Linked DNA regions of Tamandua tetradactyla. The protein of the gene in region 4 purifies or fractionates together with the protein of the main gene of each other region. This does not show direct contact. Links are inferred from orthologs where the notes say so. Each region holds a gene or a part of one and is shown on either strand. Other genes may lie near its edges. The genes, in order: NUMA1, HSPA12A, PNN and EPB41L3.

Region 1 (7,900 bases), on a different chromosome or scaffold from region 4:
CTTTCATATACCAAAATCTACAGGAAGACAACACATTATTCTTTTGTGGAATTAGAGAATAGTGTATGTTCTCACCAGACAAACCCACCCTGTTTCAGCATCAATATCAGATTTGATGCCTTTGAGCAGGGTTGGATACTTTTCTTGAAGTAAGCACTTTCTGCCCTTGGCTTTGGGTAGATCCTTGGTTGGGACCCCAGAATTCTACAATACTGGCCATGGATTTTAGCTGTAAATATTTAAGGCCAGATTTTTACTGGTTAGCTGCCTTGACATCAGAGCTTCTCATACAGTTCCTAAGCACTTCTGATTTGTGCAGCACTGCATCTTGTGTATTTTTCTGGTGAGGTAGCATTAAAAATGGAGTCCACTCTCAAAAGGTTTATTCATTAACAAATACATTCCCAATTCGTAGCACTCAGTTTGGCAGATAAAATGCAGGCAATAAATACTTATTGTATGAATATTTTAAAAAAGGAGTCCCAAGTAGTTGAATAAATTTGCCAGATGGAAAGGGTTATTATTTTTGTTCATATAAACAGTAGCTTTTGAGCTAGTATCATGCCCTCTTCATAATCTAACACAATCTGGCTTACAGCAAGCACCCAGGAAGTGTTTATAGGATGAATGAATGAGAAATTGCCAAATCAAGGATTTCTGTTTTGGTTGAGTTGATCTAGGCTGCTCTTTCTAACAACTGGCTCCCAGGTTCAGCTGTTTTAGTCCATACCTCATTCACAGTAACAGCCTCAGTTCAATTCTGTCAACATTTGAATGCCTGCTGCCCTATGTCTGACCAGAAGGAATGAAGCCAAGAAACAAATAATAAAACCCTGTCCATCACAAGCACAGAGAGACCTGCTGGAATCCTATCGATTGTGACATACTGGCCTGCACCCAGTTCCAAGTAACAGCTGCCCACTTAATGAATACTCATGTTCCAATTCTTAGTTCTAGTGTACCCTCTTCTATAAAGCCTTTATTTTCCAGATGGAAATAATCATTGTGCACTGCTTTAGACTGGTTGCATTAATGATCCCTAATCAGTTTTCCCCTGTATCCAGCCCCTTGCCCCATGACTTTGTAGTTCATCTGATACTTCAATCAGCCATGTTACCTGTACTGGCCAATGGGGCACTGACAAACATGAAGCACCAGAAAATTTAAAAGGGGCTTGCCCTCTTGAGCTTTGCCTGTGTCATGAGAACATGGCTGGCTTGATGGAGAGATATGAGCTGTAGAAGAGAGCCAGTGATCACAGTTGAGTTCATCCTAGACTAGATATAGGCAGCCTGTCCTCAGTCAAGATCAGGAGGGTCATCCAACCCACAGATAACTACAGACACATGACTGAGCCCAGCCAAGAGTAGAACCACCTAGCTGATTCAGAAACTTTGAAGTACTAATAAATGCATATTTTTTAAGCCACTATGTTTTGGGGAGGTTTGTTATAGCAAGAACTAACTGAAATCCCTCACTGTATTTTGAAAAAAATTGTATAACAATGTTTCCTCATCTATAATTGGAGACAAACCCTATCCTGAGAGCTGTTTTATGTCCTGCAGCAGGTGCTCAATATATGTAAGTAGTTGCTCTGCACTTATTTCTTTATAACCTATTTCCCATTCCTTCCCTGTACCTTGAGGACAGGGGCAGACAGACCTCTTTCCCCGACCCTGCACTGAGTCTTGCAATGAATGGGTATTTCATAAATGCTTTAAGGACAAATGGCAAAATAAAAGAATAAATGAATGGTATCTTCAGGGTGACCGCTGGGAAGAACCTCTGAAGCCTTGATGCTCTCTCCTGTGGCTGTTTTTTGGAGTCAGCCCTTCCCAGCTGCTATGCTGGTATTCTGCCCAGATCCTAACACCTTCCTCATCTGATCAGGCTGACCTGATGAATGACAGGGTTAACAGCATACCTGCCTTGTGATTTGGAATTGGACTTTTTCTTTTTCAAACTGGAAATATTTTAAACTTTTTTTAAGTATAAAAAATCAATATGATAACAATAAAGTTGAATAACATAGAGAAATACATCAAGTAGAAACAGAGTCTGGATCTCCAGCTCACTCTCCTAGGGCAAATACTGTTAATAGTTTGAGAGCACAACCTCCTGGAATACATATATAAACAGGATTATGTATATTTTTACACAGGCACATACATACTCTCTATTTCTTTGTAAACCTATTTTTTTAATCTTTAAGTTGTTGTAGACTCTCTTACTCCTTTTAATAGCTGAAGAGTATTCTATAGTATGCATGTGTCATACTTTTACTTAATTGAGCTGTACTCAACCCCAAACCAATGCAAATTTGTTTTCAGTTTTTGAAAAGTACGACTGGAATTTGATTTCTTGATAGCCAGTTTTTGCCCTCTCTGACAAGTAACAATATGATAGCACAGGAAGATTTGAGGAATAATCCACATCCTCAGGGGATCTGATGATTCAACTGCCTGGCTTAGAGAGGTTTCTGTTTTATGGGCCAAAGGTGGAAGAAACATCAAAGCATGTCATGAAAAGTCTGCCACCTAAACTAATGTATTCTGGGAGGCTACATTCCCAGGTACCCTAGGGAGGCCCAAGATTGCACCAGGCTCTGGCCCACCTCTCCATTTCTCTCTGTTTGAGAGTATATATAAAATTTTATCTTCACTTCCAATTCTGCAGTCTGGCCAAATATAACTACTTGCAGTAAGTTCTCTGAACCTACCTGCACATACAGCTTCCTCTGCTTGTAATAGTTTCCTCTTTCCCCCTTTCACCTTGCTAATTCGTACTTTAAGACTCAGCTCTGGTGTCACCTTTTCTGAGAAGCCTACCCTTATTCCCAAATCTGGATGCGGAACTACTCTTCTAGGCTTTCACAGCACCCTATACTTATTGCCATGGTAGCACTCATAACACTGTATTATAGTTATCAGTTTATTATCTGTATGTCAGTAAAATCTATCAGGGGAAGAACCATGTTTTTCTCATGGCTGTATCCCAGCAGTGGTGATAAGTCGTAGGGGTATAACAAATCAAAAGTTCCAACAGTGAATAGTACTATAATGAAGAGGAACATGATGATGCTATAATTTAGGATGTGACCTAGTGTGAGCAGTCAGGGAACACTCCAGAAGAAGGGATGATTGAGAGAAATCTGGAAGATAAGTACAAATTAACTGTACAGGGTAAAGATGAGCATTTTAAGCAAAAGTGACAGTATGTGCAAAGGCTGAGAGGTTATTTGGAAATTTAAATTTAAAGTAGGCCATATAACTGGAAAGGAGAGAGAAGGGTACATATTGTTAATCTGGAGGCTGGAGAGGTGGGCAAGAACTAGGTTGAGATGTTGCTTTATGGTATGTGCAATAGGAAGCCACAAAGTATATTTTAAAATGGGGATGGGGTGAGGTGGGGGGAGTAAACAAGATCAGATTTGCATTTTTAAGGATTACTCTGACTACAATATGCAAAATAGCTGGGAGGTTAGGGGAAGGACTAGATAGCAGGGCCCGGTAGAGGCCAGTTAATCATGACAGCATCAGACATAGGTGTTGTGTTAGCCAGACCGTTTGTTTCTTGTTTAGTTTACTTAAATCTATTCAATTGCCAGTGTCTTCAGTCTCTCTAATACCCTTTCCCCATTTTAACATTCGGGGAAAGATTTGAAACTTATTCAGGCTGAGTGTAAATAACCCAGTGCAGGCCATACAGGTTCCTTCTCATTGGGGCAGTTTAATCTATGCCTTGGAACAAGTCCTTAAGCTATAGAGGTAGTAGGCACAGCTAAAGAGACTTGGCTGGAGTCTGAGAACTAAGTATAGTCTTAGTTCTGTTACTGAGTTTGTATGTGGCCTTGGGCAAGTCACTACTCCTCCCTGGGTTTCAGTTTTCTAATCTGTAAAATGGGGATGAATACCCTAACTCACAGAGCTGTTATGAGTATTGAAAGAGAGACTGAATGGGAAAGTGCTGGGTAAGTTACTAAGTATAATAGATCTATCTGAGGGCTGTAAAAGAAGGAATGAAGCTCTAACTGTAGAGCTTTGATAAGCAGACAATGGAGGAGGTGGAGGAAGAGGAGGTAACCTGGGGGCAGTGGGTGATTCCTATTGACCCTCTGAGAAGGAGGATCTGGAAGAGGCAGAAAGGGGGATATTTCAAGTCTCACAAGGGCTCCAGAATTAGGGACCGTGATTTACTCCTATGTCTTGAAAAAGTCTCAGGTCCTCAGAGGAAAACAAACCCATGTCTGAGGGTGTTTCAGATCTTCTAGGGTGTGTCAGGACTTAAAGCATCCGTAGCAGGGGGCCCTATGTTTGTTGTGGGGTAGGGTCTCAGGCACCCCCAGATTTGTACAGGTATGTATCTCAGCGCCCTTCCCTCCTCACCTCCCAACCCAACGTGTGTTCTATCATGGTCAATGAGAAAGGGGATTAGGATTGGGTGTGTCTTAGGTCTCCTAGTATTTCTGCGTTGCCCCCTCTCCTCTCCACTGCACTGCTGTCCCCTGGAGCAGATTCCCTGTTTTCCATCCGACTCACCCGCAGACGCTTCCCTACAGCCTCGGACCGCCAATACCTCCGGGTTACACAGCGCAACTCCATGGTAACCGCTTTCGCCACCACGTCCCGGCTGGACGCCGGAAGCGCTGCCGCGATGCCTACCGGGACCTGTAGTTCTTTCTGGCACAAGTCAGAGGCGGGGCTCCAAGGTCGCGAAATGTGCTGGGATTTGTAGTTGCCTTTGGTCTGAAGTGTAGGTCGGGATCCGGAAGTTGTGACACTCCTTCTTCCTTCCCAGAGGTCCTCACGTACACTTCCTTTTTCCGGGTCCTCAAGCTGCTTTAGCATACGACAACAGTCAACAGGGGCCAATCAGAGGGCGGCGTGAGGAGGGCGGGGCCATAGTTTAAACTAATTGTGCGCTCACAGCGCTGGCGCGAGCTCGCAGAGAGGTGCTTTCCGGGGCCAAGCCCGAGGCGGAGCGGGAACGCGCAGCCAGGTAACCCGCGCGGGCGCGGCTGGCGTCCGGCCTGGGCACCCTCAGGGATGCCCAGACCTAAAGAGATTGCAGAGGCCGGTGCGAGTGGGAGGCCTCTTTCATAACCGTGTCTGAAAGGGGAGAACAATCGAGAGTAAGGTTTGTGGGGGCGTTGGGTGAGGGGCATGTCCTAAGGGAGGAGCCGAGGGTGCTTTAGGTGCGGTGGGTCTGTTTGGGGGCGTGTCTGTGGAATCCTGTCTGAGGACAACCGGGATGGAGAATGGGCCAGGTTCTTGAAAGGTTTGTAACCGAGGTTACTGTAACGTGAAGTCTTCGACTATTATTGTTAACAATAGTAGCTGTAGTAGTAGCAGCTGCAGCAAATATTTTCCGAGCACCAACTAGGTTTCAGGCACTGTGAAAAGGCACCCTTTTATATGGAGTATCTTTTTAATCTTCCTATCCTTATTATACTTACTATTCTCGTTTTACAGATGGAAAATCTGAAGTTTATAATGTTTAACTTGGCCAGAGTCACATAGCTGGTTGGTGGTTGACTGTACTTAGAGTTTTGGGAGGTTGGGCAGAATCGAGGACGGGTGAAAGGACACTGAGGATGCGGCTTGTCTTGGATGAGTCACTTATTTTTGTTCTTTGGTCCTTATTTTGGTTTCATATATGTAAACAATGATCTTATCTGATTTACCTATTTCATAAGGGTCAAATCAGATAAGGTATTTCGTGAAGGTACTTTGTATGCTACAAGGTGACTGTAAGTAATGTAAGTGTATGAAGATTGTGGGTGAGAGTCCAACTGAGTTGATTCTGCTCTCCTAGGTTCCTTCTGTTGCTTAGTCCTGAGGTAGCACCTGTCACCTGGTATTCTAAGAGTCTCTGTGTGTTTGCCTGTCTTTCTAGATGAGAAACAGTGTCTTTTGTCTTTGTATCCTAATGCCCATACAGGATCTGAGACATATTATGGCCATTAATTTATTCTTTGGAATGAATGAGTTTCCTTGTGCTGGCTTTCCTTTCTTCATTTAATGACTTTTGACCCTCAATAGTAAGTTATCTATTTGCTTGGAAAGGCGTTGCTTCTTAAAACAATATGTATTTGCTTTGCTCTATGCTTCCCTCTCTCTGTCCTCTGTTCCTGGTCCTGTGTTTCTACAAGTGGGTTACTCTCTGGGGTGGGGCAGAATCCTTTGATGTTAAGGGAGTTCAGGTTCCCTACCTTGGGGAGATCTTTCCTGCTTTGAATATATGGGAAACCTGGGGTGAACAGTCAGATCAAGTAGGTGTATGTGTTTTCTCCCTCTCTGTTCCTGTGTGGTATTGTCTCCTTTGAGTGGAAGGAGCATATACTTCTTTGTAAAAGCTTCCAAAGTACTTTTAGCTCAATTTCAGGCAAATAATGACTAATTTCAGTGCCTCAATCTTATGGTCAGAAGCTGTACTCCCCAAAAGCTGGGAGATCTCACCTGAGAGCTCATATGAAAAACATTTCTGTTTAGAGTGTTCCTTTTTATTTGTGAAATAGGGGAGCTGGAAGAATGCATTGAATTAAGGCTTGGGTTCTAGAACTGTTGGGATGGGGGCAAAGCCCTACTTCAGATGGCTGAAGAGAGCTGATCTGACGCTGTGTCTGATAAAACCCTATGGTCAGAAGGCCATTTAATTAAGCCTCTTACCCACTGTACACTCAGCAAACCAAGTGGTGTTTTCCAGGCTCACAGTGAAGACTTCCAAGAATAAAGCGACCATTCCAGAGGGTAGTCCATTTCAATGTTGAACAATTCTAATTAATAATTGTTTTGCACGGTCACTAAAATGATTATTTAATTTTATCACGTTTACTGTTTGTTTTTCACCATTCTTTGTTACACTTTATTCCTTCCTTTTGTGTTGAATAGTTGTTTTTTTCCAATAGGATTCTGTTCATGGTAAACACTGTCTTTGTCTGAAAATGTCTTTATTTTATCATCAGTCTGAATGATAGTTTATCTGGGTACTGAGTTTCTAATTATTTTCTCTTAGCACCTTGAAAATATTATTTCATAAAATTCTTTTTGTTGTGGTTGTTCTTGAGAACTACACTCTCAATTTAATCAGTATTTTTTCTGGTTGCTTTTTTTTTGGAGGTGGTGGTACATGGTTTGGAATCGAACCCAGGTCTCCTGCATGAAAGGCAGCCATCTAACTAATGAGCTACCCATACACCCTTTCTGGTTGCTTTTAAGATCCTCTTTTTCATTTTTGTTCTGCAGTTTCATTACATGGTGTGGATTTAAGTTTATTTATTTACTGGGGGCATGTAGTGATTCCTCAGTCTGTGATTTCATATCTTTTACCAATTTTGTAAAAATTCCTTGTCATTACCTCTTTAAGTAGTGCTGCTCATGGATCTCATATTTAACTTCTCATTCTGCCTTCCACATGTTTTTTTTTGTTGTTGTTGTTGTTGTTGGCATTTAAAAAGGGGAATTTAGTAAGTTGCTAGTTTGCAGTTCTAAGCCAAGAAAATGTCCCAGTTAAAGCAAGGCTATAAAAATGTCCAGTGTAAGGTGTTAGGGGAAGATACCTTGGTTCAAGAAGGCTGATGACTTTCATTGTTTCTCTCTCAATTGGGAAGGCACATGGCCAACGTGGCAACAGTCTGCTGGCTTTCTCTCCCAACTTCTTATTTCATGAGGCTCCCCCAGGAGCACTCTCCTTCATCTCCAGAGGTCACTGGCTGGTGGATTCTGTCTCTCTTGGACTCTCGTGGCTTTCTCTGTTGTCGTTCTGTCCTCATTCTCTGCTCTCTCAGAATCTCAAGCCTTTTCCAAAAATGCTTCCTCCTCTAAAGGACTTCAGTAAAGTAATCAAGACCCATCTGGAATGGGTGGAGATCTGTCTCCACCCAATCAAGTTTAATACCCAC
Region 2 (7,876 bases), on a different chromosome or scaffold from region 4:
GCTTAAAACTGTTTTCCTCATTTCCTTTCTCCATCTTGGGTCATTGCAGGTAGCTTGGCACATTTGTACTGGAGTTACATTTAGAGACAGAAAAAGCCAGCAGGGCTGATGGTATGACTCATGTTTTATATATATGACTAGCAATGAATAGTATTTATAAATATTTCACAAATGCTGAATTTCAAAACATTAAGATAATTTTTTATGGTTTAGACAAGAGTTACTAATCAATGCTGTGGGGGGAGGGAGGGAGGCGGCCAGGACATACTGAAGAAGGCACTTAAGCTGTCTCATACCTTGGCAAAATTTTGAATGGTGCAGAATATTTCCACTTGCAGTGTCGGAAGCCCCAGTCCATCCAGGACGTTTTTCCCCACTACTCTGCATATGGTGGGAGGCTTTGCAAGTTTAGAAAAGCAGTTTGCCTTCAACACAAAGCACAAAAATCACAACAGCACCTCTAATTTATCTTTAAAAGGTCATTCGTATTTACTCTTTTTAGTTTCTACTAAATTCTCCCTGAAGGTCATTTCTGGTGCCAGGATTAGACTAATAGCTCTGTGGGACCTACCCTTCCCCAAAGTGCTGAGATTTGAATCAGCCTGATGCCAAGTCTCTAGTACATGTTGTTTTACGAACTCTCAGAAGAAATATACATACATTTATTTAAGGCCCTGTGTTACCATTTAGCAACCCTTCTTAGAGTCAACTCAACTCACTAACGTACCTTTGTCGGTTTGAAATGTTGTGCACCCTAGAAAAGCCGTGTTCTTTCATCCTCATTAAATATTGTTGGGTGGGATCTTTTTAAAGTTGTTTCCATGGAGATGGGACTCACCCAATTGTGGGTGGGACCTTTTGATTAGGTGATTTCCATGGAGATGTATCTCCACCATTCAAGGTGAGCTCCTTACTGGAGGCCTTTCAGATGGAACCATTTTGGAAGTAGTGTTAGAGCCCACACAGCCAGAGACCTTTTGGGGATGCAGAAGGATAATGCCCCATGGAAGCCTTATGAAATGAAAATCTGGGAGAGAAAGCTAGCAGACATTGCCGACTGCCTTCCCAGCTGACAGAGGTATACCAGATGGCATCAACCTTTTTTGAGTGAAGGTAACCTCTTATTGGTGCCTTAATTTGGACATTTTCACAGCCTTAGAACTGTAAACTTGTAACGTAATAAATTCTATTTATAAAAGCCATTCCATTTCTGGTATATTGCATTCTGGCAGCTTTAGCAAACCAAACCTCTATCCCTCTGTCCAAGAGATAGTAATTAACTGGTCTCTAGAACACTATGGTGTATTCGAACCTAAGAAGTCTGAAGTGGGCCAATCGTTATTGATATTGCAATAATATTTACTGATTTGATTCTTTAAATATGTAATCTAATGATTTACCGATATTGTCAAGGTGAAGTCATATGCAGCAGCTGTAACTCACTTACCACCAGTCTGTGTATGATCCTACATGCTCAAAGAGGATTATTGGGAACCTCAGTAATAGCAGTTTCATTGATGTGGAAAAGTAGAAGCCATTTAGAAGTGATCAAAGGGAGAGAATGAAGAAAGAGAATGAAGTTGAGGTAGAAAGTTCACTCAGGGAGTTAGAGGAGCTAGGAGAGAACAGGAGAAGGAAAAGTGAAGACAACCCCCCTTGCCCTCTTCATTACTATATAGTATTGAGCTCTTTGTTTCACTTAGCAGACATCTGATCTTTCAGTTCAAAATCCAACTTCAGGGCGGGCCGCGGTGGCTCAGCGGGCAAGAGTGCTTGCCTGCCATGCCGGAGGACCCCGGTTCGATTCCCGGCCCCAGCCCATGTAAAAAAAAAAAAAAAAAACAAACAAACAAAATATAATAAAAACAAGAAAATGTTTAAAGATGTTTCCCTTTCTTCCTCCCTTCCTTCCTTCCATCCTTCCTTCCTTCTCTGTCTTTCCTTCCCTTCCTCCCTCTAAAAAAAAAAAAAAAAAATCCAACTTCAGTTTAGGTAACAGGTACTCTCACACTCAGCAATGTGCCAGCTCAGAGGTGGTACCCCAACAGAATTAAGGCAAAAGCCAATTTTCAAGCCATTTATGCATTTTAGGGATGGTGATTTGTATATTACAGCAATGTGCCAGCTCAGAGGTGGTACCCCAACAAAATTAAAGCAAAAGGCAATTTTCAAGCCACCTATGCATTTTAGGGATGGTGGTTTGTATATTATAGTGCTCAGTGCATAAATAAATTTGGATGGAATCAGAAGCAACAAAAATATTACCTAGCTTATACTCAGTGTATTATAGTGAGTTCGATTCAACAAGTACCAGGCCCCTTCAGTGTGCCAGATATTGCGTCATAAGAGGAAAGGAACCAACAGTTTTTGGGTGTGTCCAGTGGCAATCTTAGATGGCTAGAACAGCTGGGGCTGACTGGGTATCTTTCTCCCATCCTGGAAGTATCAGATCTTCTGGAGCCTCTCTCTACATGATCTCTCTTTCCAGCAGGGTAAACAGGCTTCCACACAGCATGATGACTAGCTTCCAAGAGGAAGTGTTCCAAGAGGATGAGCATTTATTAAGCCTCTGTTTGCATTATGCTTGCCAAGGTCCTATTGATCAAAGCAAGTCTCATGGCCAAGTTGAGTCCATGTGGGCACGACTTGCATAAGAGTGTTCAGACTGGAGAGAGGGCTCATTGGGAACCATCAAGGTACACAGCTAATAAGTGTCAGAGCCAAGAATCAAATCTCCATCTGCTTGATTCCCTAGTTAAAAACTTTTTCAATCATAAGTTGAACGACGAAGGAATAAACAATACTGCTGTTGACTACAGGGGTCATCCCCATCCCTGAATTCCTTTAATACATAAGAGAAGCAGAGAGGAAAAGGTATTTGAGTCAAATGTTGGAGGATTTACAATATTTCAAGGGCAGACTAGGGGAGAAGTCAAGGGCAAATACTTTAGGTAGAGCGGGACAGGATAAGCTAACAGGATGGAAGTGGGAAACTTTGGCTTTGTGGGGAATAATAAGTGATGCAATGTGGAAGTGGTGAGGGATAAGCCTGTTGTCAGAGTAGGGACCCAGTACTCGAATCACACATGTGAAGCTGTTGGAGCTCACTAAGCGGTCAAAGGGAAAGCACAAGAAGGTTCTCATCCAGAGATGATGGTCAGGCTGGAGTATTAGGAACATGCTCTGGGAACACTGTGCAGGATGGACTCCGTAGAGGGAGACAAGGTGAAAAAAAGGATTGCTAAAACTCAGACTGTGATTATGAAGATGAAAAGGTGAGTGTTTTCCCCTGTGCTTTTGTCCAATTCCTGTATATCTCCAAAGTACAAGCCCAAACTATCCTGGATACCAAAACCTACAGGGATCTTCCCCCTCCAGGAATTCCTTTAATAGGTATAGTAATCTCTCTCCCAATCTAGCATGCAATCATATATCACCTTATCTTTTTCTCCAATTATTTTATCTATCAGTGGCTTTTCTCCCCAACCAAGGTTCCTAGAGAGCTATACAGACCACTGTCTCAGCTGCCCTGACAGACTTGGAAGAGCATTACACTGGGAAACCAGAAACCAAATTTTCTAGCCTTAGCTTTTGTGCTCAATAGTTGTGGGACTGGCCAATTACTTTGGACTTGGTGTCTTTATAAAATGAGGAAGTTAGATTAGATAACTTGCAAGAATTTCTCTAACATGAGATACTGGGAAGAATGGAATTCAGAGTTAGGCGTTCATTTCACGAACAGTTCTGAGCGCCCACCAGATAAATCATTCACTTTGCTATGTACTAGGGTCGCAGACCTTGTTTGGTTTCTGCTTCCATCACTCACTGTGTCCCTTGCACAAATCATTTAAATTCACTGAGCCACAGCTTCTTTATTTGTAAAACAGGATTCACAATTTTCATATCATGGGGTGGTTCTAAGGATTAAGTGGCATAACATAAGCAGCACAGCACAAGGGGCTTAGTAAACATCTCATCACTCCCTGCCCCCAAACATACAACCTCGATGTATAGGCCATAACAAGAAGAAACGATCATTGCAGGGGCATCCTCTATAACAACTGCCTTAACAAGATGTTGGCTTTGAACGCTTACAGCACATCGTGCCTCTTCATGGCACTTAAACACTCAGCTTGATTTTGTAATATTATCTCCTTGCTTTCCCTCATCACAGTGCAAACTCCTACCAGTCCCAAGCACACCGCCTTCCAGATGGCAGGTGTTGTGAAAACACCTACGGATCTGGACTTGAAAAAACACCTTTGTTTCCACTGCTCATTGCTAAAGACTAAATAAGTTATGTGCCAGATAGCGAGCTGGGCACAGGGACTAAGGAGGTGATAAGGAAAGGGCCCAGCCCTTAAAAGGAACTCACATGCTAGCTAGTGAGGCAGGCTCGAAGCATTACAATACACGCAGAAACTGCTACAGGAACATTTAAGAACGATGGAGTGGGGAAGGCTTTGATCTGAATCTTGGAGCTTAGACAGGAGCTGGTAAGGTGGGACGGGCATCCAGGCAGAGTAGGGCGCACATGGCAAGGAGTTGAGACCTGAAATCGGACTGAAACCCGCATGCACCAGGAGTTGGCAAGACATTAGGTCCCAGGCCAAGCTGGAACAAATGCCAGCGCGCTGGCCTTCACCCCCTAGGCAAAAGCAGGGTGGTAGGACCTCCTTCCCTTCTGGTGCTTTCTTCCCACTACTTTCTCTCACGAACATCCTCCTTCCCCTCTCCAGACCCCCACCCTCCGCCAAGATAAGTGCCTCGTCTCTCAGCTAACCGGCAACCCGTAGCTCTCCAACCCCGCGGTGGCAGGGTACGCATGCGCGACTGCGCAGCGCAGGCGCACCGAGTTGCCGCAGCGCGGGACGGGGGGCGGGGTTGGAGGGAAGAGGATGCCCGCCCCAGGTCCCTACCAGGTGTCCGTAGACGTCGGCAGGCTGGAGGTAGAAGGTGGAGTTGAGCATCTCTTCCAGCCTGCGCGGAACGTCGTTCTGCTGGTAGTACTCCATCGCCTGCTGCTTCAGCTTCTGCAGCTCCCTAGTGGTCCCACAGCTGCGGCCGCCGCCTTCTTCCCCCATGGTAGGAGATTTAAGGCTACAGAGGGGGTTAGACTGGGGCCCGCGAGCGTCCTTCCTGTCGCTAGGCAACGCCACGAGAGGCTGCCTCCACATCTCGCGAGGCTTCCAGCACTAAATTACTCCTGCGGCTGGAGCTTCGCCCCTCTTCCCAGGGTAGCTAATGGCTTCTCCGACTTGTCCCTCCCCTGTCCCTGAGGGATTGGGGCTCCCACCTTTCGGGAGAACAGCGCTCTCCCAGCTTGATTTTTCACCACATTTCCCGACGATTTTGCAGATGGGGAAACATCTGTCTGCTGAAGTGCTTTTTCGGTTTCGGAGCGCTTCCTCGGCCCTCAGCTGGGTGGCGACTCGCCCCCTCGCGGAGCCCTAGCGGCGGGAGCTCCGGCTTCCAGCTGGGCACGCGGACCTCGGGGAGCGCGCAGGGTTCCCCGTGGCCTGGAACTCGGCCGTCCCCCCTTCCCTTGTTCATCGCGGTTGGAGAGCTCCCCCGGATGCGACGGCGGTCCAGAGCTCAGGGTGTCCTTACTAAGCTGTGGAGGCCCCAGGGATTCATTCATTCAGCCAGTTTTGGTCAACTACCTGCTCCGAACCAAACACGGTGCTAGGCTGGGTATACTGTGATGTCCAGGGGAGAAAAGTCTGCGCTCCCTTCCCTGGGAGATTCGTGGGCGTGAAATGAAGGAAAACCAGTGTGGTCCGAAAATACTTGGGGCGAACCTTAAGAGGTGGTTAGGGTATGAACAGGCCTAGAGGTGGGGGATGGAGGACTATCATAGGGTTGTATTCCCTCTCAACCTTCAGAGGCTGCTTGTGCCCTTCCTTTTAAAATCCAAAATGTCCTGCTTGATTTCACTACACTTGCCAGGTGTTCTGTGTAATTATAGAACTTAATACTGTGTGCGCTCTGCCCTAGACACTCTACTGCAAGAATAGGCCGAGATGGGCAGGATGTTATTGTTCTTATCTTAGCTGTGTGTGTTTCTGACATAAGCAGATCACTTAATCTATGCATCACTGTGCTCATCTGGAAAACATCTTACTCACTCTCCCTGCTTCAGAAGTCATTTAAGATAAAAGGAAGTGAGTGAAAGAACTTTGGAAAGTTAATTTCCGATGCATGTATGGATATGGCTATAAGTATATTTCCATTCCATTTTTGTGCCTTTCCTCAATCCGGCTGGGTGGATGAAGGTGAACACCCACCTTGTAGTGCCTGGGCTGAGTCCCACATCTTCAAAGAAGCCATGCTCTACCCCCAGCCAGTCTTTCCTTTCCTCTGAACTCCTTTCCCACTTGGAAAATGGGTCGCAAAATTCAGTCCTCAGGGATATGTTGAATCATCTGACATTTTAGTGGAAGATTGAAAGTATCCTGGGCTGGGACCACCATATTTCTATAACCCCTTGGCCTCTAAGCTCCATAAGGGCAGGGACTTGGTCTGTCTTGTCCACCACTGCATCCCCAGTACGTTACCTGGCAGAAGAGCTATTCAATAAATATTTGTTGAATGAATGAATAGGTTTTGCCTATAACATGCTCAGTAATTATTTGACTTACAACAAAATGTTTTGACGTTGAGTAAATGATGAATGTGTTCACCATTCTGGCTGGAACAAAGGATTTATTTGCTTTTCAGAAATAGTTTAGAATAAGGATGGAAAAGTAGCCTGAGGCTAGACTGTGAAAGGGTTTGAATATCATTCTGTAAGAGTCAGAAGCAACCACAAATAGCTGAATATAGGATGGTGTCTTAGTTTGCCAGGGCTGCCAATGACTGATACCACAGACAAATTGGCCTAAATGACAGGGATTTATTGTCTCACGGTTTTGGAGGCTGGAAGTTCAAAATCGAGGTGTTGGCAGCATGTGCTTATTCATGTCTGTACTGTTCTGATGGAAGCTTACCGGCAAGTCCTAACTCTGCCTCTGTCAGTTGCTATCTCTCTGCTGATGTATCTCCTACTTCCTTGTTCAAATTTCCTCTGCTTATAAGGACCCTAAGCATACTAGATTAAGGTCTACCCAGATTTAATTTGGCCCTTTCTTAATAGGATATTTGAAGATATTGCTTATAATGGAATTCCCATCCGTTAGACTGAGGTTTAGGACTCGAGCATATTTCTGTGGGGAACATGATTCAATCCATAACAGATGGGCCAGGTGGAAGTACTGTTTTAGGAAGTAGATTGGTAGCAGTAGGTAGGATTGATCAGGGTGGTAGTATAGCAAAAGCAGAAGATCCAGGTAGGAAATAATAAAGAAGGAAAGACCAAACTATAATGGGAAGAGAAGGATGAGAGGAATAATAGGGAGGATGGAAAGGGCTTTGAGTAACTGGTTGTGGGGTTAGGGAACCAAAGATGGCTGAAGAGGATGAATGTAGACATCTGTCAAGTTGACAGAAATAGGATAAATGAGTTATTTGGTTTTGATAGAGGGAATCTGATTCATTTGGTTTCAGATGTGTGGCGTTTGAAGTGCATTGGTATCACAGGGAAAAGGGAAGGGCAAAGAAACAAAAGACATACACGAAGTGTTTTAAAGTTGAATCCTCTGGAGGGAAAAGTTGAACTAAGAACCTGAATTTGGGGGAAGGATTATATTTAGGACATAGGAGTGGAGCAAGAAGATATAACAGGACAAAAACAAAAAGGGTTAGAGAAAAAGGAAGAAAATCTGAGTCATGGAGGCTGGGGCAGAGGGTTTGGGGAAGGTCAGCGTGTGTTTTATATAGACGTGGATTAAATAAAGTCTCAAAGGGCAGATATCAGCAGGTTAATTATGTTGTCTTT
Region 3 (6,841 bases), on a different chromosome or scaffold from region 4:
TGTTCCGCGGATTTGTATACACCAGACACCATCTCGTTATGGAGAAGCAAAAACAACGCCTCGTCCGCCATTTCCTCCTTATTCTTCAAAGCTCCGGGTTTCTGATCCTTTCTGGGTCCAGCCGGTCGTCCGGTTCGCCTCGGAGCGAGTCGGCCAGCGCCGTTGAGCCCCCGCCGCAGCCCAGCCTTCCGTCGCTAGGAGACCGAGGAGCTCACGCCCCTTCGCGAGGGCAAGTTCAGCCTGGACCCAGGGCGAGGGCCAGCCCAGCCCGGGGCCACCAAGCCCTGGGGCCGGACGAGTGTCCGACGGCGGAGACCACCAAACCCGTCCGGCAGAGCCCAGCGCCAGCCCCGGGACGGGGGGCGAAGAAACAACTTCCGGTCTCCTCTACCCCGGCGGTCCGCCAGCTCTATGGTACCGAGTTCCTTCAGCACGGCCCACTGGCCGCGTGGAATGGGAAGAGTCCACCTCCGCGGCACGTGGGCCGGGTTGGGGGAGGTGACGCTCGCTGTAATCACTATATTAATTCACTATGAAAGAATTGATAAGAATTTCTATTAGTTTCATCAAAAAAGCTGCTTTTACTGCCATATGTTTCTCAGTATGAAAAGAGCGACCAAATCATCAATTTTAGACTGTACAATTTTAAATAGAGATACTGAGAAGCTATCCCAATCCACATTGGATGAAGCCCAGGTATGCAAAAATATTTAGGGCCATTTTGGCCACCAGGAAGTTCATTTTTACTGGTAGAAGAGTGTAAGGGGCAGGGGTGGAGGGTAGGGGTAGAGTAAGAAAAGAACAAGATATACTTGAACCAGAAAATACAAACTAATCATAGGAATAGGTGCTACCGAAAACTGCTGAAGAATTGAGAAGTGATATCATTGCAGGATGGAGTTCATAAAGAATCTATGGAGGATGTGGGACTTAAATCCTACAGAGGTTCAAATACATGTGCTAGATCATATTTACAACTCAAATTTGTTAAACTCTGGCTTTAAAATGTTCTGTAGTGTTTTGTTTTGCAAGCTACCAAAAAGTGATACACTAAACATGGAACAGCTTTTTTTTTTAACAGCTTTTAAAAAGTGGAATTTAAATTGCAAGTTTACAGTTCTAAGCCTATGAAAATGTTCAAACTAAGGCATCCAGAGAAAGATACCTTAATTGAAGAAAGGCCAATGCATCTGGAACACCACCATCAGCTGGGAAGGCACATTGGTCCCTTCCTCCTGGGCTCCCTTGCTTTCAGCCTCTGTTCCTGTGGGAGTTCCTCACTTTGTTTCTCTGGGGCTGGCTTTCATCTCTTGACTTCCCTTGGCTCTCTCCAGGTTCTGGCTTGCTTCACATCTCATGGCGACATCTGTTAGGCTGTAAGACTCTCTAAACATGGTGTCTCTGTTCTCCAAGTGTCGGCATCTGTCAGTTCTGCTCTGAAGTTTCTTAGTGGCTTTCTCTCTGTAGGATCTCTCCAAAATGTTTCTTTTTAAAGGATTCCAGTAAACTAATCAGGACCCACCTGAAATGTGTCGAGTTACATCTCCATCTAATCAAAAGTCACACCCACAATTGGACATCTCATATCTCTATAGAGGTCATCTGTTTTAGTTTGCTAGCTGCTGGAACGCAATATACCAGAAATGGAACGGCTTTTAACAAGGGGAATTTAATGAGTTGCTAGTTTACAGTTCTAAGGCCGAGAAAATGCCCCAATTAAAACAAGTTCATAGAAATGTCCAATCTAAGGCATCCAGGGAAAGATACCTTGGTTCAAGAAGGCTGATGAAGTTCAGGGTCTCTCTCTCAAGTGAGAAGGCACATGGCAAACACAGTCAGGGCTTCTCTCTCGGCTGGAAGGGCACATGGTGAACATGGCATCATCTGCTAGCTTCCTCTCCTGGCTTCTGGTTTCATGAAGCTCCCCGGGAGGCGTCTTCCTTCTTCATCTCCAAAGGTCGCTGGCTGGTGGACTCTCTGCTTTCTAGTGTTGCTCTCTCTGAATCTCTCATTCTCCAAAATATTTCCTCTTTTATAGGACTCCAATAAACCAATCAAAAACCACTCAAATGGGTGGAGACATGTCGCCCCTTAATCCAGTTTAACAACCACTCTTAACTAAATCACATCACCCAGAGAGATGACCTGATTACAGTTTCAAACATACAGTATTGAATAGGGATTATTCTACCTTTATGAAATGGGATTTATATTAAAACATGGCTTTTCTTAGGGGGCATACTGCCTTTCAAACCAGCACAGTCATCTAAACAAAATTTCCAACCTATATTATTGGAAGGATGAAAAGAAACAGCTGCCCCCACAAGATTGAATCAGGATTAAAACATGGCTTTTCTGGGGTAGTAATATCTTCACACCAGCCCAGAGACTAAATATGCTTGCAATTAGAATTTTTAAATTATTTGTAATCTCCATCCCTTTTTACCAAGCTCTACTTTTCCTTTTTTTCTTATGTAGCATTACTTTCTTTTTAATATACTAGATATTCTACTTATGTTTATTGTTTGTCTTCACACTTTTCTGGCCCTCCCATCTCCATGAGGGCAGAGATCTTTACAGCACACTGATATACCCAAGTGCCTAGAACCTACCAGGTGCATAGCAGGTGCTCAACAAATATTTGTTGAACGAAGGAATGAACTATTATTGATGGAACTTTTCTCCCTTTGGCGCCTACAAATTCTATGAAGCATGATCCCCAGGCTAGCTTACTATTAACACCCAATAGGAGCTTAAAAAGGATGGTTAGACTAAAGTGCCTTGAAAATTGAAAGTTTGAGGGAAAATGAAACATTAGTGGCAGCCTGAGTTGAATACACTTGGTGCGCTAATGCATTATTCGGAGAAGATGCCTCGCTAGCAGATGGAGAACCCCACGATCATTCACAACATTGTTTCTGTGAGAAAATATTTTCTGAGATATCAAAAGAATTCCTGTAGATACTTCTGGGCCAAAACCGATTCTCAGTTCAAGTACAGGAGAACCAGAAGTAGGATGATCACACCCACACCCGTCAAGAGGGCCGTTTTTCCCCAGAGCCAGCCTTAAATCAACCAGCGCTAGGCCAGGGATAGAGGCTTAAGGCAAAGAAAAACCTGCCTCGTCTGTCTCATCGTTGTGTTTCCCTTTTGGTATACTCCCGCCCAGGCTCTGAGCCGAATGTAATTCTCGGTTGAAGTGACAGGGACAGTTACATCATCTCCAGTTCCATACTTTCCTTATCAGTAATAACCATTTCACCCAATTTTTTATTTCTAAGGAATAAGACATGTAAGGCGTTTCAAACAGAGTGAAAAACAAGGCCAGTCCATAATAACCGCTAGCTAGTAAGATGAATGACGTTTCCTATCTCTTCGTGTCTGACTGCTCCGGGCTCGCTTTAACCTAATCAAGGGAAGCACGCGCCTCCGCCCCCTCTCTGGGCATGCGCACCAACAAAATGGCCACGCCCACCCCTAATGGAATCTAGCGAAAAGGGAGGAAGGGAAATAGACGCGTCTCCACCCCACACTGATGTGATTAAGTGATTAAAACGATGTAGGGTATATAAACAGCACACCTTAAAGCGGCTGGAAAACTGCGCGCTCTTTGCCAGGTCCTCGAGCCCAGACCCCAGAACGCTTCCAAACCCACAGCTCTGCGCCGAGAGAATCCGGGGACCCCCGGCTAGAGAGGCACAGAGGCGATCGCCCGGCAGGTTTCTCATTGGCCCAGAGTCACAAAGGCCTCAGCTTCTCTTCTCCCGGCCGCTGATTGGTTTAGGCCGAAAAACAACGCCTTTCGCTATTGGCTGGACGCAGCTGTCGCTCTCTCGGCGTCTCGCGGCGCGGCCCAGCCCGGCGCGGCCTGTGGAGCAGTCTTGAAGCCTGCAGCAGGGAGAAGATGGCGGTCGCAGTGAGAACTTTGCAGGAGCAGCTAGAAAAGGCCAAGGAGAGCCTAAAGAACGTGGACGAGAATATTCGCAAGCTCACCGGGCGGGATCCGAATGACGTGAGGTGAGAGCCGGACGCAAACTGCAGGTTCTGAGCGGGAGCCACAGCGCCGGGGTAAAGTGGGGGCGGGGAGGGCGGCCGGCCCGAGAAGACTGGAACCCCCAGGCCTGGACCTCGGGCGGCGGTAAAACTCCGTCTTCGGTGAGGTGGGCAGTCTCCGGGTCCCCACCTTAAGGCCATGGACTCAGGGGCATGAGAAGAAGACAGGCCTGGGTTTGTCGGGACGACTTTCCCGCCTGTGGGAAGGCCGTGACTGCGGATTCCCGCCCGTGGCCCCGCAGGCCCGGGACTGCAGCACAAAGCCCCCTCTCCTCCCGGCGGCCACCGTGCAACCACTGGCTCTAAGACTCCTAGAACGCGTTTCGGCCTCAGTGCCCGGAGGTTCTAGTCCACGTGCGGTTTCTTCGCGGTTCGCAGAATTAGGTGAAAATAACTAGGTCCAGGGGAAAAAGAAGTTCACCTAAAACAGTACTTCCGTGTTCTGTACCAAGCACGTGGATTTGAACCCCTCCTTTTAGAGCGACACCATTTATCCCTTTATGATAAATTTATCCCATTTATCCCCCCTGAAAGTGTTTGGTGCCATTAGAAGGGTCTACAGAATGATTTTTAAATTGAGTTTTGATTCTCTTACAGGCCCATCCAAGCCAGATTGCTGGCCCTTTCTGGTCCTGGTGGAGGTAGAGGACGTGGTAGTTTATTGCTGAGGTGAGGTTTCCTTTCAACTTAACTCGTGTATTAAGACTGTTGGCATTTTTATACTAAATTAACGTGGTATTGGTTTAAACAAAATTTGTGATAGAGCTAATGTTGAAATGTTTTGTTTAAACCTATGATTAGCTGTAGTTTTCTGTTTAGATCTGGCTGTCCTGAAACTTATAATTTATTTGCAAGCAAAACTCCAGATTGAAGAATTTATCATTTCCTATCTCCTTTTTTTTAAACCCCAACGTAGCAGATCTTCTAGAAGTTAAATATATTTCCACACTTGATTTTTGAAGAATTACAACCTATTTTATAACTTCTGATTATGGTTAAAAAATGCCATAGAACCATTTTGGAGTGTATGCCCATTTAAAGGTTACTTTAGTGGGAAAGCTTTTTGTGTTGTTTTTAGTCAACTAAATTCTTTTGCCAACTGAGAAGAAAAATTTTAAGTGCTTTCTCTTGGACGTTTTCATTTGCAGGCGTGGATTCTCAGATAGTGGAGGAGGACCCCCAGCCAAACAGAGAGACCTTGAAGGGGCAGTCAGTAGGTATGTTGGAGAGAAGATGTCTGAAAGAGTACTTCTTTCCCCTTTATTTTCTCAATTAGCACTTTACAAATGCTGAATTGAGTTGTATTAGAGTTAGGTTGATACCACTTTCTTTGAGCCCCTTTGGTATTCTCCTGAACTGAGACAGACAGTATCCCTGAAAACTCAACTCTTTAGTGATAGCAACACAAACGTTGCTAAAAGTCATGAAAGATATAGTCAATTTCTAATCCTTTTTCTGTTTGTACTACAAAAATTAACCAGCCTGAGAAATAATTTAGATATTAAAGGAGGTTGAAGGTTGGTTTGAACATTAATGGCATTTTTTCCCTTTACTTTTGGAGGAAAGAGTAAAATGAGATGGAGACTGATAGAATGAGGCTTCTGAAATGAATCCTAGGAAAGGGGTATTTACCCTTGATATGTGTTTAAATCAAATTCCACGGTCGTCATTTAAATTATTTTTCCCATGACAGGCTGGGCGGGGAGCGTCGGACGAGGAGAGAATCACGCCAAGAAAGCGACGCAGAGGATGATGATATTAAAAAGGTAGTGACATGAGAACTTGTTAGAGGATGAGTATAGTATTTTCATCTTCACTACATTTGAGATGTAGTGAGCATATTAACTTAATAAATAAATAAGTTACTTAACGTACTAACTTACAGATGCTAGTTAAATTACTGAAAAATTTTTTTTCTCCCACAGCCAGCGTTGCAGTCTTCGGTTGTAGCTACCTCCAAAGAGCGTACACGTAGAGACCTTATCCAGGATCAAAATATGGATGAAAAGGGAAAGCAAAGGTATCTTTAGTACTCTTGGAGGAAGAATTTTCTGTTAGATTATAATAGCCATGCAATTCAAAGAAAAATTCAGGGGTTTTTCAAATGCCCGTAGTATATTTTGTAAAATGATAAGTTTAAATGAAGTGAATCCTATTTAAATTGACTTTTGTGTTTGTTTCTTTTTCAAGAAATCGACGAATATTTGGCTTGTTGATGGGCACCCTTCAGAAATTTAAACAAGAATCCACTGTTGCTACTGAGCGGGTATTTATGCTTTGTTTCACTTATCTGTTATTTGAGTTGTTGAAGTTGTCAGTTGCATGTTTTTTAAAAGCTTACAAGCTCTTTTTATACTTCATTGCCAACCTGATAGAAAGCCAAGGAAAAACTTATGGAACTTTCTGAAGCTGTTCCATTAACTGGTCTTTCATTGAGGTGCTGTGAAGTAATCAGTGAACTTCTCTTTGTAGTACAAAGACTCCTGCTCTGTGACTCATGAAAACCCAGGTTCCAGTATAAGCCCTTTAACAACCTTACTGTATGACCTTGGAACCCTGGACAAATCTCTATTTAGGTTTTCTCTCAAGGGATTAAAACTCCATGATCCTTCCAACTGGTTCAGTTATTCTAATTTTTTAAGAGTTGCTTACACGTTTGGTTTAAGTTTTAACATGTTAATTTTGGTAGAGAATATGATGCTGCTATATAAAGTTGGTTGTTTTCCAGAGTAATGGAGAGAACAAATGACTAGTTTACCAGTTTGAATTGTCAAATTCTTTGATTTGG
Region 4 (7,774 bases):
TATATCATCTACTCCCTAGCATTATGACAAATCATTAACTGTTTTAATAGTTATATCTATTTCTCCATCTTTACTGTGAAGATTATGGTTCAATACATTAACTTTTCTAGCCTCCTGACCAGCTCTCCATTTTAAAGTCTTACTAACTCTCTTTCTTGCTATTTTGGCTAACCAATTCTGAATCAGAGAAGTCTATACTCCATGTGTTAAGTGTCACACTTTCCTTCCAGGCATTTCAGAGAACTCTGAAGTCATAAATTAATTCTCACAGTGTGGTGGGTGAGAATTATTATTGCACTTACAGATGAGGAAGTAGCTGCCCAGAGTGGACTGTGACTCATCTAACTCTCCTTCTCTTTTTAATAAACCATTCACAGATAAAACTCCTTGACTTAAAATCCTACAAAAATCTTCCTCTGCTTTCGGTTTTGCTTCTTTTGCCCAGAGGAAGCACGCCAACCCTCTGTATTTTGAGGTGAGTGGGTATTTGAAGATGAAGAATCTGAGGTTGTCCTCAAAGAGAGCAGAAATAGAGGAGCATGGAGAATGTTCTTCAATACAAGAAGGCGGGTATGTAGAAGAGAGAGAAGGCTAGGTATAATAGCTTAGGAGACAGAAGAAAGTAGGCCTCCAGAGATCTTCTTCTTTGTTTGTTTACAGGGTCTTAGAGAACTTCTGCTCCTCCTTCAGCATCCAAACCACAGGACTCCCTTGCTGCTGCCGCTCAAAGCATGGGCTCAGTTCAGCAAGGTCCCTGAACTTTCTCACGTCATCTATACGAGAACACCTTTAGCAAAATTGTCCCTTTGGTCACCCAACTAGAATATGAGTTTCATGTGAACAGAGACGATGCCATGTTCATCCGTGTTTAATAACGAATTTATTTAAATGAAATAGAATACTTCTGAAGGTAGTGAGAACCCCATTTCTAGAGGTATTCAATGATAGGCTTTTATAGAGGGACTTCAACCATGAAACTCATCATTTATTTCCACATTTCTTAATATCTTCAGTGCCCTCTTATTTAAAGTGAGTTAATCAATCCCAAAAAGTTTTAAAATATATACAACTAAACAATGCAAGCAAGTCCTCACAATGACTATTAGTTTAACATGCTTATTTTAATAACGACTGGTCCTAGAAATTACTAAATGCCTTTCCAGGTCAGTGTTATAAATGACCAGCATCTGTCTTTAAATACATACGGAGCACACACTATGTGTCAGGCCCTGGAAATAAAAGAAGGAAATCAGAGCAGCCCTGCCCTCAAATCCTCTAGAAGGAAACTTTTATCGGGATTGAGGTTCATAGCCTAGGTATAAAATTTCAATCTGATCGGCTGAAGTTGTGCTCCTCAGAACAGAGAATGTTTTCCCAAGGTTACTACATGTTCTAAGAAGCCTACTGAAAACTCCTCTTTGGAAACTGGCAGTCACTTATGTCTGAACTGTAACTGGCCCAGCCTAGGGCAGATAAGGGAAGGAGGAGAAAAGGCCCACAAGGTCATTCCCAAACCATCTGAACTTGAAGCCTTCAGCGTTCTGAACTGTGTGTAGAGATCCGTGCATTCCCAGCCGCACCTCCACCTCCCACCGCCACTCAGCACAGTTCCGGGCTGGGGGAAGGCGGAGCAAAGCCTGCCTTGAAAGTAACTGTCTTGAGAAATGCAATAAGGCATCCACACCCAGACGCTGCTCTCCCACATTAGCCTGTTTCTAATCAGGTGGAATTTAGACTTAAACTGAAATTATATTTGGGATTTACAGTCATTCTACTTTCATTCATTTCGTGGATTTCAGCCTTCTGCCGTCCCAGTCTTAAGTCAATGCATTTCCTGGGGAATTAAACCTGAGTTGTCCATCAGCCTTGAGTAATGGGGCTTCTAACTCCGGTTCCCTAGGAAGAGCAGCGCCCAGGCCCAGGTTAGCCATGCCCTGGGGGATCCTCCGCGCTCACCCCGCCTCCCGCGACTACGCTAACCGCCGACCCCGGGTTTCCACTTCTCGCCTCTCTCTGGAAACCGGCCTCTCCCTCCGGAGAGGATTTCGCGCCGGCACCACGGGCTTTCCGGGCTCAGAGGCCGCCCGCCAGCCTCCAGCGGCCGCTGCACTTCTACAGGAGGAAAAGCGAAAGCGGCGGTCTGCGGGGAGGGCAGCTATCCAACCTCCGCAGAGCCGCCGCGTCCGAATCCGCAGCGGCCGCGCTCCAGAGGGGACCAAGCGGCGCCCACCCACACTGCAACTTCCCGTGGGACTCGGTACCTCCCAGAGTAGAACCGCAGCGCCAGACACTGTGCCCGGAGGCCAGGGATCCCGCAGCTCCCGCCCCAGGCGCGCCCAGCTCCCGCGCACAGCGCCCCCCCCCCCGCCCCCTTCTCCCGAGCGGGCCGCCAACCCCAGGCCCCTCCGCTTCGCAAGCAAACAGCGCCAATGGGACATTGGAGGTTCAGCTGCCCCAACTTCCACGTCCCGAACTGCTGGCCGCTCGCCTCCGGATAACGGGCTGCCTTCGCCAGCCTCCACCGGAGGCCACTACTTGCCGTGGGGAGGGAAGTGGAAATGCCCAGAGAGGGGCGCTCCCCTGGATTTTGAAAAATCGCCGCATTTGCCTTGGGGCGGGGGGGGGGGAGTGGCGCCTCAATTCCCCTACCGCACCCTCCGGCCACGTATCCTGGGACCGCTCCGTGGAGGGGCTTAGGTGCTGGAGCTGGGAGGAGAACCAGCAGGGCGGGAGTTGCTGGAGAAGCCGCTGTGCGCAGCTGGCGAGGGGTAGAGAAAGCGGCTTGTACGCCTGGGCCTCCCGGGGAGCACAACACGCCCACCCGCACACCCACACGGACCTGCGCTCGCTCCCAGCAGCGCCCCCGCCGCGGCCCGGAATGCCGAGGTCAGAGACACTGTGCGCTTCAAGGCAGGGGCTGAGGTGCAGAAATGGAGGGGGAGGCTCTGCCTCTCCTCCAAGGCTCGCACCATACCAGGAGCCCGCCACCCCCATCCTCCAGGGCGAGCAAAGGCTGCCTTGTGAGATACCGCTTCGTCCGCCACGGGTTTAGGCTGGCGGGCCGGGGATGGAGAACAGGGGGAGCACTAAAGAGCGAGGGCTCTAGTGCGCCCCTACACCTCTGCGCGCGCCGCGGAAGGCGCACAGAAGCAGCGAGCAGCCTCGCCTCCGGCGCGCAAACTAGGTTGCCCGGCCCTGGGCTCCCGCCGAAGCGCGCCAAGTCCAGCCCCCCGCGGGCGGGTTATGGGAGCAGCAGACCCCCGCGAATCTGCAAATGTACCGGCCTCTCCGAGTCGACCTAGCGGCGGGCGCAAGGGATGGAGGCGAGCGGGACGGAGGAGGAGCTGCGGAGCAGAGGAGGGATGACGTCCTTCGGCGAATCTCCAGGCGCTCGCCCTGCCCGCGGGGGGTTCGCGGAGAGGCGCGGTGCAGGGTTCCCGCTGCATCTCCGCCACCGCGCGCACCAGAACAAGCCTGTCCAGCGGCCGCCAAAGACGCACTGCCTGCGACCATCTCCACAACACCTCCTGGCCGATCCCTTCTCCGGGCGTCTGCCCGGGAGTCCTGGCCGCGCCCGCCTCGCGCCATCCCGGCTCTGTCCCCCGACGACCTCGAGCCAAGGGCAGGCGCCCGCGCCCCAGCTCCTGTCTCGGGCAAGCAGCCGCGCCCGGCCTGCACAGCGGGATGGGACACCAGGAAGGAGAGCGCTCACCTGAGTGGCCTGGCGCCGTCCTCTCCTGCGCCTTCCCGAGCGGGTTCCTGGCCTTCCGGCACAACCTCTCCCGAAGAAACAAAGTAATGCAAGGGCAGAGAGAAGCAGGGCTGTCCACGGGGCCCGGGGCCAGCGGCTCTTCCTTTAGGCTTCTCCCGGCTCCAGTCTCGGGTCCTGCGGCAGGAGAGGGCTCCGGGAGGCTGGAAGGGGCCGCCGGACGCCGACTGCTCCCGCGGCGGCGCGGTACCTCCAAGTTCCCACCTGCAGCGCGCGTCGGGCGCCTGTGACAGCCCGCACCGCCCCGCCCCGGCCCGCCCCCTTCTGCCGGTTGGCTGCCGCGGCCCACGGCGGCCCCGCCCCGGCCCGCCCTCCGCGCCCAGCGCCCTGGCAGGGAAAGCTGCTTCCAGGCTTCCGAGGGCTTCCATCCAGCGGGGTCTTGGGGTCCTCCGGCCTATGCCTGCAGCAGGAAACACACGCAGACACGCATGCAAATATAGTGTGGTGGTTTGGAGACTGGAGGAAGGAGGGAACATACGAACACCCCTACGTGTCCCTTAAGGAAATCTGGTAACGTGGCTCCTTTTGCTGGGATTAAATTACCTCAGTCTGCAAAGAGTTGAAATCACAGCAGCACAGACTCCAGGGATGTGGAGTAGGCCGAAAGTGGTCTGGGCTTTAATTTGGTTTAAGCTTCCCCCAACTTCACCCGAAGCGCTAAAAAGGCGAAGAGAAGTTCCTGACTCCCCCGGCCTTTCTCACCCAGCCTGTGCCGCTGCCTGGAAGGGACCTCGGGTTCCAGGACCTGCAAAGCTCCCACCACTGGCGCTTACGGGCCCCCCATGCATGAGCCCGGCACGTGCTTGCTGGAACCTGTGGCCTTCAGGGTCCAGAAGAGAAAAACTGCAGTTTGGTGGGTAGAACTAGGCCTGTGCTCTATAGCGTTCTTTGGCCTTATAACTAAACAAAGAGAACATTAACCTTTCATTTCCTTTCCCCATCCGTCCTAAAGACCGGGACAGGTGTTCACGCAACCTGCCCAGGCTGGCGCTTCATTCATGCTTCCTTTTGATGGCTCTTGAATTCGTGCTTCGGGAAAACTGACTTGCTTTAGTCCTCGGGAGGAGAAAAATGATAAAAGTCTAAAAAGCACAAATCTGTAAAGCTATCCAATCAATCAGTAGCACCTGACTCCGGGGCGCGTCTTTGTGAGCGGGATTCATTGCCAAGTTCCTATTAGTCTAGTAACATTTAAAACTTAACTGCGCAAATAGCACATTTTATAGGCCATTAGGGAAATGGCATGTTCTGAGACTGTATGTGTGACATGCTCATGTCCAGCAGTGTTTTGTAGACTCCTGTGCAGGTGAGGCTGAGGCAGGAGGGAAGCAGGCTTTACTAAAGGAAGCCTGAAGATGGCTTATCACAAGGCCTTCCGGGGACAGTGACACCAGCCAAGGAGTGGCTCCCTGCAAACTGATGCTAATAGCCTGGAATACTCCCTTATAGCACTGGCTTCCTGTTGTTGAACTTTTCATTGTAATAACATATGCACCACTCAGTATTGCCCATTTTTAATACTTTCCAGTGTACAATTCAGTGGCATTAATTATATTCACAATATTGTGCTGCCATCGCCAATATCCATTGCCCCAACTTTTTCAGCACCTCAAACAGAAACTCTGCACTGATTAAGCAACAACTCCCCTCCCTTTCCACAACCCCAGGAACCTGTAATCTACTATCCTTCCCTATGAAATTTGCTCCTTCTAGGTATTTCATATAAGCAAGGACATACAATATTTGTCTTTTCTGTGTCTGGCTTATTTCACTCAACATGCTGTCCTCAAGTTTCATCCATTTTGTAGCCTGTCTCCAAACTTCATTCCTCTTTATGGCTGAATGATATTCCATTGTGTGTATGTACCACATTTTGTTTATCCATTCATCTCTTGACAGACACGGGTTGCTTCCACCTTTTGGCTCTTGTGAATACTTCAGCTATAAACATTGGTATGCAGAGCATCTGTACAAGTCTTTTGGCTATATACCAAGAAGTAGTTTTGCTGGGTCATAAGATAATTCTGCATTCTACATTCAACTTTTATATTTTAAGGCAAAGATTCTGTTTTATGACAACCTAAAATCTTGGGACCACTTTGGGAGATAATAGCAAGCTTTTTCCCTGCAGCCAGTGCTTATTTTCAAAGCTCTCAGCAGAGACAAGCTACACCTTGTCCTTCTTTAAACTCGAGAAGACTTGGGTAGCAGTGCAGTGGGAAAACATTCACAAGAGATATTTTAATACCTCAGGTTAAGTGCTTGTTTAATGAATTGCTATTTGACTCTGAACTGGGTGAAACAATGAGTAGAATGAAGGTGGGGCTTGTTCAGGTTTGAGTGCAGGTTGACTCAAACTGGAGGAGTGCCTGGTGAAAATCAGAAACACTTTTGATGTGTGACAGCCAGGTGAGGTACAAACAAAGGGGAAAGATGGGTTTCTCTCTGGGAGCGCTGTTCCTAGCATAGACATGATGGGAAGTTCTCCCTCAAGAAAATACATTTTCTGAACATTGGGGAAGGAGCTTAAGGGTGCCCGTAAATAAGAAAACATTATGTGGAAGAAAGGATGAGAACATATTGGAAGGGGTGATTGACAGGTCGGTTGACATTGGGGGAAATCAGTAGATGCTGTGTGGAGCCCTGTACAGCCCAAGATTCTGAAGGAAGAGTCAAAAGAGAATTGCTAGGATTTAGAGGCAGTCAAGTGCAGGAGCTAAGAGTCCTGGAATGGCTTCTGGAGTTGGCAAACACAAGAATGAGTCCTGGCTCCAACATCTAGGCTTGTGGTTTGCACATGGAAACATTACTTAAGTTTCATTTTGTTCACCTGTGAGAAGCTAAAGGTGCTTACCTGACAAGCTGTATTGAGGATTAACCAAGATAATGCATCTGCAGTGATTGGTACAATACCCAGCATACAGGAAGCAATCAATAAACGTAGGTATTATTGTAAACACAGTTTAAAGATGGCTTAAAGGTCACCTAATCCTTCTGATATTTGTTACTGGTAGAATTTTTCTATCCAGTGCTCATGCTACTGGTGGTAGGACATGCCCTGGGAGGAGAATCTTACTATCCTACCCCTGACGAGTCCATTACATCCTCTTTGCTTGAAGGGGAAAAGTGACTCACTACATGTTTCACTGGTTTGTCCTCTTGCTAGTTTGAATCTAAGTACCCCAGAAAAGCCATGTTATTTTAATCCTAAACCAACCTTGTAGGGGCAGATCTATGGTTCAGGGTAGAACCTTTTGATTAGGTTGTTTCCATGGAGATGCCACACACCCAATTGTGCATGTGACTTTTTGATTAGATGAAGACATGACTCCGCCCATTCAAGATGGGCCTTAATTAGTTTACTGGAGTCTTTAAGGGAAGTCATGGAGAAATAAAAATTCAGAACTGACACAGATGCAGACATTTGGGGATGCAGAAGAAAATGGCAGAAGGACGCATAGGATCTGTGAGAACCGTTTGAAACCAAAAGTCAGGAGAGGAGCCCAGCAGACGTTGCCATGTACCTTCCCATGAAATGCTAAGCAAGCCAGAGCTCAGAGTTTTGTCCCGGAGAAGCTAAGTGAGGCCCCACAGATGCGTACAGAGGAAGCTACTGGAATCAGAAGCGCAAGCAACAAACCAGGAGCGAGGATCTCAGGTGCCAGCCATGTGCCTTCCCAGCTGACAGAGAAATCCTGGATGCCATTCACCCTTTCTTCAGATCAAGGTATCTTTCTCTGTCTGGCTTAGTTGGACATTTTTAAGGCCTTAGAACTGTAAATTTATAATCTAATAAGTCCCCTTTTTAAAAGCCAATCCAGTTCTGGTATATTGCATTCCAGCAACTTTAGCAAACTAAAACAGCCCTATTTCTGTCCATGGTGGTCATCCAAATGCCTAGATCCTCTTTCTCAAGAGAGATAAATACAGATCCCCTGAGTGGCTTCTGTTGTTCAGGCCAGACAGGCCTTGTCCCTACAGGAGTTGGTTTCCCAGTCTTAAGCC

What was found.
Region 1: the proteins of EPB41L3 (region 4) and NUMA1 purify together in Homo sapiens (affinity purification with mass spectrometry; 3 studies listed by BioGRID and IntAct, with this or other methods). This does not show direct contact. The link is inferred for Tamandua tetradactyla from reciprocal best matches to the Homo sapiens genes EPB41L3 and NUMA1.
Region 2: the proteins of EPB41L3 (region 4) and HSPA12A purify together in Homo sapiens (affinity purification with mass spectrometry; 4 studies listed by BioGRID and IntAct, with this or other methods). This does not show direct contact. The link is inferred for Tamandua tetradactyla from reciprocal best matches to the Homo sapiens genes EPB41L3 and HSPA12A.
Region 3: the proteins of EPB41L3 (region 4) and PNN purify together in Homo sapiens (co-immunoprecipitation; 3 studies listed by BioGRID and IntAct, with this or other methods). This does not show direct contact. The link is inferred for Tamandua tetradactyla from reciprocal best matches to the Homo sapiens genes EPB41L3 and PNN.

The regions. Positions count from the first base shown.
Region 1 is NC_135334.1:74,167,310-74,175,209, forward strand, and holds the start of NUMA1 (nuclear mitotic apparatus protein 1), read left to right. Parts: upstream 1-4,885; 5' UTR 4,886-4,998; intron 4,999-5,004; exon of another isoform or gene 5,005-5,136; intron 5,137-7,900. UniProt on the Homo sapiens protein: Microtubule (MT)-binding protein that plays a role in the formation and maintenance of the spindle poles and the alignement and the segregation of chromosomes during mitotic cell division.
Region 2 is NC_135339.1:79,124,919-79,132,794, reverse strand, and holds the start of HSPA12A (heat shock 70 kDa protein 12A), read left to right. Parts: upstream 1-4,875; 5' UTR 4,876-4,919; coding exon of another isoform or gene 4,920-5,082; coding exon 5,083-5,085; coding exon of another isoform or gene 5,086-5,177; exon of another isoform or gene 5,178-5,492; intron 5,493-7,876. Other genes in the region: ENO4 (enolase 4), read right to left, coding at 297-425, 4,920-5,177. UniProt on the Homo sapiens protein: Adapter protein for SORL1, but not SORT1. Delays SORL1 internalization and affects SORL1 subcellular localization.
Region 3 is NC_135340.1:14,325,662-14,332,502, reverse strand, and holds the start of PNN (pinin), read left to right. Parts: upstream 1-3,827; 5' UTR 3,828-3,904; coding exon 3,905-4,017; intron 4,018-4,650; coding exon 4,651-4,722; intron 4,723-5,201; coding exon 5,202-5,270; intron 5,271-5,746; coding exon 5,747-5,819; intron 5,820-5,978; coding exon 5,979-6,073; intron 6,074-6,243; coding exon 6,244-6,319; intron 6,320-6,841. Other genes in the region: TRAPPC6B (trafficking protein particle complex subunit 6B), read right to left, coding at 3,582-3,728. UniProt on the Homo sapiens protein: Transcriptional activator binding to the E-box 1 core sequence of the E-cadherin promoter gene; the core-binding sequence is 5'CAGGTG-3'. Capable of reversing CTBP1-mediated transcription repression.
Region 4 is NC_135344.1:69,004,665-69,012,438, forward strand, and holds the start of EPB41L3 (band 4.1-like protein 3), read right to left. Parts: upstream 3,010-7,774; 5' UTR 2,995-3,009; coding exon 2,650-2,994; intron 1-2,649. UniProt on the Homo sapiens protein: Tumor suppressor that inhibits cell proliferation and promotes apoptosis. Modulates the activity of protein arginine N-methyltransferases, including PRMT3 and PRMT5.